Sus scrofa: one gene and its partner. The protein of the gene in region 1 purifies or fractionates together with the protein of each later gene. This does not show direct contact. Links are inferred from orthologs where the notes say so. Each region holds a gene or a part of one and is shown in the gene's direction. Other genes may lie near its edges. The genes, in order: VPS4A and ZFYVE19.

Region 1 (3,811 bases):
CAAAAGGACACACCCAGGAAAACGTGTAGAGTGGAAAAGCCAAGGGAACCAGGAGGGTGTGTTCTGGAGATCAGAGGCTTCTGGCCATGGGAGCATCGCTTTCATGTCTGTCTGAAGGGCCTCGTGGAGGAGAGTGTTCAGGTGAAGCTTGTGCTTAAGCTGATCATCTGGGAAAGTTCAGGCCTTTTAGCCATTCTCTGTTGGTCGTTGGGGTGGAGCTAAAGCCTGAATAGAGTAGCTACCTATCACCTTTCCTCATCTGTTCAACCTGGCGAGTTCATTTAACATCACGCTAGCCTGACCTACCCCAGGCTGTTTGTTCTGTAGAGCTCCGTGTGTCTTTCTGAGACTTACTACTGTCAGATGAGAAAAGGCCCATAAATGCCCGGGTCCTGCCAAGAGCTGGTCAGGAGGCTTATTGTTCGTTGCCGACGGAACTGTGTGGATACCGGGGGATCTGCCTGCCTGGTGTCTAGTGCTGTATCAGCTTGAGGAGGATAATTCTGGTCATGCTTCCCGGGTTGGTGAAGCCGTGGTTTCTAAAACTGGTTATGTAGGTGTGGGGCAGCTGCCTGAAAGATCCAGCCTGCTTTAAGTTCAGTCCAGAGCACAGGGCTACAGGATTTATGAGGTTCACAGAGATATGCAGAGTGCTTAGGAGGTTCCAGAGGACTGGTCCCCTCCAGTGGCCGCACGTTTATGCTTCTGGAGTAAGCATGCACTTTTCTTCCTGGAGCTACCGGTGTACTGAACCACGGGTCCAAGCATCCCTTCTCTAAGTATCAGCTTGAGGGAACTGTCTTCTCTTTTCAGCCTAGAGAAACAAGTTGGACCAGTGGCAAGAAGGAGAGATCCGTTTAAGTTCATCTCATAAAACTCTTGGACCGAAGAAGGACTTTGCTGGCTGGCTTGCTGGCTCTTCTCTGGCCCTCGAGGTCAGGGGTGGTTTCTAGCCTCCGTATAGAACAGCATGGCAGTCAATTGGTTCTGGTGTTTCCCGTGTTTCAGGCCCAGTCCAGGTCTATTTCTCTTTCCTCTGAAACCATGAAATAGAAAGTGAATTCTCCCTTCAAGCCTTAAATCTGAGATGTTTGACGAGGCTTCCACTTGACTGAGAGAGAGGTTGGTTTTCACTACATGAGCGTATTGCGAAGAGGGATGGCTCTCTTTTACAGGTTCCTTTTAAGGCCTTTCTAGTTGATGTTGGAAAAGTAGCCAACATAATGGTCTGTGACTGACAAATCCCCAGGCAGCCCTGGCAGTATCTCTTACAGTGTTTTCCTGCTCTCTGGAACCCAAGGAATTGCTGGATCTCTTGGTAAGCACTGGCTTCTATGTTTTGCCTTTGCAGAAAGCCATTGATTTGGTGACAAAAGCCACAGAAGAGGATAAAGCCAAGAATTACGAGGAGGCGCTCCGGCTCTACCAGCATGCCGTGGAGTATTTCTTACACGCTATCAAATGTGAGTCTCATGGGGGGTCCTCCCTGGCTGCAGAGCCCCTGCAAGAGGAGGGCGGGCCCTCAGGGGCTCACCGGCCCTTACCTAGTTCCCCTTTTGCAGATGAGGCACACAACGACAAGGCCAAGGAGAGCATTCGAGCCAAGTGCATGCAGTACCTAGACCGGGCAGAGAAGCTGAAGGATTATTTACGAAACAAAGAGAAGCATGGCAAGAAGCCAGTCAAAGAGAATCAGAGTGAGAGCAAGGGGTGAGTACGGAGGAGTGGAGGGCCCCGTCGGGACCAGAGCCCCGATGGGCAGCTGTCTCTTTCCTGTGTAGCTATCATCTTGGTACCGATGCTGTCGTGGACGTCCGCAGCATCTTCCTTTGGGGGACTTCTCATAATAATGATGATGCGTGTAGCTGCTTTCATCAAGCGCTTCCCAGGCTGCTCCGTGTACACTCTCTCATTGGATCTGTGTGGAAACACTCTGGGCAAGGTGGGGAGCCAGCCTTGGACTCTGCGGCCAGACTCTCGGGGTCTAACCCGGCTCCACCACTTCCCAGCCATGTGACCTTGGACAAGTGCCATGACCCTCATCTGTAGGAGGAGGAAGGTAATAAGACTTCCCTCCTGGTGTTGCTCTAAGGAACAAGTGAGATGATGTGGGTAGAGCCCTGAGAAGAGAGCTTGGCGCGCAGCAACTGCTGTCATTGCAGTTATCGTCTTCATCTGACACATGGGGCAACAGACTCGGAAAGGTTCAGGGATGGCCAAGGTCGCACACAGCTAGTACTTGACGGAGTTTGGACCCACACCTGGGGCTCTGTTTCTTTTTTTCCTTTTTTTTTTTTTTTAAAAACATCCTGGGAAGTATCTTTATTTATTTATTTATTTATTTATTTTTTTGTCTTTTTGCCATTTCTAGGGCCGCTCCCACAGCATATGGAGGTTCCCAGGCTAGGGGTCGAAGCGGAGCTGTAGCCCACCGGCCTACACCAGAACCACAGCAACTCGGGATCCGAGCCGCATCTGCCACCTACACCACAGCTCACGGCAACCCTGGATCACAGCCGGGGATCGAACCCACAACCTCGTGGTTCCTAGTCGGATCCGCCGCGCCACAATGGGAACTCCCCTGAGGCTCTGTTTCTAATTCCAAAGCCAGTGTTCCCTCCACAGCCTGTCACCTCACATCTGTAGTTTGAACACAAAGGCTTCTGGGGTCCAGGGGAGGGTGCCCAGCAGGAGGGTGGTGCAGAAGGAGAGAGAAGGTGGTGTGTCAGCTCTCTCCCCAGGGGTGGGAGGCTCTGCACCTGGGTAGAGAGGACATGCCTGTGTTTCGATTCCCCAGAGCGGGAGACACAGTGGGGAAGGGCAGGGGCAGGCCTCTGCAGGCGGGCAGGGGAGTTAAGGAAGGCACGTTGCTCGGGTCGGATAGGGATTGGCCTGGAGGCACAGCCACTGCTGTCCTGGTTTGAATCCCTGCAAAAGGCCAATAACAGCTCCAAGTGCTTGCCTGCTGCTCTCGAAGTCCAGCCAAAGCACAGGGCCCTCACCAGCCCTCTAGGGAGGAGAAGGCCTCTCATTTTACTCCCTTCATGAGGAAGTGAAGCAGGTGATGAGAGCACCTCCTGGAGAATCCAGAGTGAGTGCTGTGATGCGTGGCCTGGCATCCTCCAGGTGCCTGTGCGTGGCTCTCAGCACTGCTGAGCAGGGAAAGTGTCTCTTTAGCACCGTGCGGGCAGCCAGAGCCTGGCCTCACTCTGCTCTGAGAGCCTCCTTGCCAGCTGCCTCTTGCTCCAGCCTCTCATCTTCTGTCTCCTTTCCCAGCAGTGATAGTGACAGCGAAGGGGATAATCCAGAGAAAAAGAAATTGCAAGAACAGCTGATGGGTAAGAGGCTTGAGGCCTGTGGCAGGGGGAGGGGGACGTGGCGAGGACCCCTGGTGGGTCGAGCTCTGAGGTGAAGGCTCTGTTTCCATCTTGCAGGTGCCGTCGTGGTGGAGAAGCCCAACATTCGGTGGAATGATGTGGCCGGGCTGGAGGGCGCCAAAGAGGCCCTCAAAGAAGCTGTCATCTTGCCAATTAAATTTCCACATTTGTTCACAGGTAAGCATTGAGCCACTTTTTTTATTATTATTTTTTTATTTTTTAGGGCCCCACCCGAGGCATATGGAAGTTCCCAGGCTAGGGGTCAAATCAGAGCTGTAGCTGCTGGCCTGTGCCACAGCTCACGGCAATGCCTGATCCTTAACCCACTGAGCGAGGCCAGGGATCAAACCTGGGCCCTCATGGATACTAGTGGTTTGTTACCACTGAGCCAGAATGGGAACTTCATGTTGAGCCACTTAAGGTCCAGATGTAAA
Region 2 (2,674 bases), on another chromosome or scaffold:
TGCCCACCTGCTTCACTCTTTCCAGCTGCCTCTACCCAGAATGACCTCAACCAGGGGGGCCCAAGGGCCCAGAGTGCCAGTTCTGAGGGGCAAGCCACCGGGTCCCTGGAGGAGGAGAAGAGCAGGCTTCTGGCTGAGGCAGCAGTCGAACTTCGGGAGGAGAACACAAGGCAGGAGCGGATCTTGGCCCTTGCCAAGCGCCTGGCTGTGCTTCGAGGAGAGGACCCAGATAAAGGTAGAGGCTGGGGAGTGGCTCACTCTTGTCCAGTGGGCAGGCCCTCAACTCCCACCCCCAGGCCAAGCTCTGCCCAGTGGCTGCTGTACTCCCTGCCAGACTGGGTCAGGGGCTGGGGGGCCCTGTGCTCAGGAGTCTGTCGAGCTTTGTCCAGAGCCATGAAGAAGGTGCTGAGGCGATGCAGTGGATGAGGAACAAGTGGCAGCTATCAGGGGGCAGGGGACCCTGGGTCCCTTCAGGTGCAGATCCCCAGCCTGGCAGTGTGGCACAGGGTCTGACCAGAGTGACTGCAGAGGCTACTCAGCTCTGGAACAGATGCCACTGGAAACCAGATTACTGGGGGCAGGAGCACAGCCACTCAGGTGAGCTCTCAGCCTCATTCCTCCTCCCCTGCTCCCGTCTCACCCTCTTCAAGTGACCCTCCAGGACTATCACCTTCCGGACAGTGATGATGAAGAGGATGAGGAGACAGCCATCCAGAGAGTCCTGCGGCAGGTTGGCCCCACCTTATCCCCCTGACCACCCTCGTCCTGTTCCTGCCCCACTGCTCCAGCACCCACCTGGCCCCATTCACCCCGCCTCTTCTCTGGGGTTCAATGGGCAGTCACTCTGCAGTGCCTGTTCTAGCTGGGACTGCTCTGCCCCTCTGACCCAGCCCCGCCCCCCCTAGCCCCTTGAGGTGGAGTGTCAGCAGCCATAGGCAGCAGATGAAGGAAGGTGGGCTGAGAGCTAAGCCACAGAACACAAAAATACTGGGTGTTGGGGGCATGCCTGAGCAGGGAGCTGTACCTCTTCACTCTGTCCACAGCTCACTGAAGAAGCTGCCCTGGATGAGGCAAGTGGCTTTAACATCCCTGCAGAGCCAAATCTCCAACCCCAAGCCCAATCCAGCAGGGTAGAGCCTAAGGTGAGAAAAGCTCCAGACACAAACCCCCCCAGGCCACCATCACAGCTTCCCCTCCCCGGACCCCATCAGGTACCTTACATCCTCCATTCCTCTCTGGTCCCAAAGGCCCAGGCCATGGCCCCCAGGCCTGAGGCTGAGGAAGAGGAGCTCCCCTGGTGCTGTATCTGTAATGAGGATGCCACGCTGCGCTGTGCTGGCTGTGATGGAGACCTCTATTGTGTTCGCTGCTTCCGGTAGGTACAGGTGGAATTCCTGTGGGGCCAGGAATGTTCCAAGGCCTCCTTTGACCCCTGACCTGTATCTCTGCTCCACAGGGAAGGCCACGATGCTTTTGAACTTAAAGAGCACCAGACATCTGCCTACCACCCCTTGCACAAAGGGCGAGAGCACTGAGGGAACCCTGGTCCTCCCGGGAAGGCCATCCTACAGGCAGTCACACAGGCCGGGGCACCCACCAGCGCATCTGATGGGAGAGCACATCAGGCTAGACTGCTTACCGGGAGTTCCCTGGTGGCTCAGCAGGTGAAGGATCCAGTGTTTTCACTGCTGTGGCTTGGGTCACTACTGTGCTGTGGGTTTGATCCCTGGTCCTGGAACTTCCGCATGCCAAGAATGCAGCCAAAAAAAAAAAAAAAAAAAAAAAAAAAAGAGCTAGACTGCTTGTGAATGTGTCCTTTCCTGAGCCTCTGTGTCCCTTGAAAGAGGAAGGACTCTCCATTTAACAGTGACTAGAGAAGCCAGAGGAAAGCAAGAAGTTGGGAGCTTTCCCGCATTGACATCTGGACTGGGAGTGAGAGGCATGCTGGGAGGAGACCAAGCTGAATCTAAGGAGGAGCCCTAAAACTTGCTCAAGGGCCCAGGGCTCTCTGCTGGCACTTAGGGGATCTAATAAAGTATGTTGATTCCTTGGACCCGGTGTCTTTTATCTGTAGAACTGAACCATACAGGCCCTGAGCCTGGGCCCGAGGAGAGATGGCAAGAATAGTAGGCTACAAGTCCAGTCCTGTGAAGTGAGGGAAAAGGTTAAGCCATCCTGCAAGCTTCCTGAGGCAAGAAGAGTCCCACCCATCCTGGTGGCCTCACAGGCAGTAGGCATCAAAATTCATCAATTGAACTGAACTGCATCCTGCTCGAGGCAGCCCAGCTTAGCCCCCGGGGCACCACCATCTTGGGTTTCTCAGCTTCTCTAGTACTCCAACACTGCATGCAGTAACAGTGGATGCATCCGCTGCCTCCTGCCTTACTCCCAAGAACACCACCTCCCAGGGGTCCTGTCCCACCCTCCCGGCCATGCAAACCCAGAGTGTTTTTCCACCAATGATTCTCAGGCCCTCTGCTTAGCCCCCCCGACCCCTGCTTTTTCTCTTGCTGCCTCTGGCTTGGAGCTGGCTCAAGAAAGAGTCCTCAGGAGAGTTCCCTTAGTGGTAATGAACCCCACTAAGGTCTACAAGGGTGCGGGTTGGATCCCTGGCCTCACTCAGTGGGTTAAGGACATACTGTTACTGTGAGCTATAGTGTAGGTTGCAGACTCG

What was found.
Region 2: the proteins of VPS4A (region 1) and ZFYVE19 purify together in Homo sapiens (affinity purification with mass spectrometry; 3 studies listed by BioGRID and IntAct, counting the BioPlex papers as one, with this or other methods). This does not show direct contact. The link is inferred for Sus scrofa from reciprocal best matches to the Homo sapiens genes VPS4A and ZFYVE19.

What each region holds. Positions count from the first base shown.
Region 1 is NC_010448.4:17,662,875-17,666,685, reverse strand, and holds part of VPS4A (vacuolar protein sorting-associated protein 4A), read left to right. Parts: intron 1-1,351; coding exon 1,352-1,463; coding exon of another isoform or gene 1,464-1,562; coding exon 1,563-1,710; intron 1,711-3,276; coding exon 3,277-3,338; intron 3,339-3,434; coding exon 3,435-3,554; intron 3,555-3,811. UniProt on the Homo sapiens protein: Involved in late steps of the endosomal multivesicular bodies (MVB) pathway. Recognizes membrane-associated ESCRT-III assemblies and catalyzes their disassembly, possibly in combination with membrane fission.
Region 2 is NC_010443.5:130,510,097-130,512,770, reverse strand, and holds the end of ZFYVE19 (abscission/NoCut checkpoint regulator), read left to right. Parts: intron 1-25; coding exon 26-235; intron 236-650; coding exon 651-730; intron 731-1,043; coding exon 1,044-1,142; intron 1,143-1,247; coding exon 1,248-1,375; intron 1,376-1,456; coding exon 1,457-1,535; 3' UTR 1,536-2,053; downstream 2,054-2,674. UniProt on the Homo sapiens protein: Key regulator of abscission step in cytokinesis: part of the cytokinesis checkpoint, a process required to delay abscission to prevent both premature resolution of intercellular chromosome bridges and accumulation of DNA damage.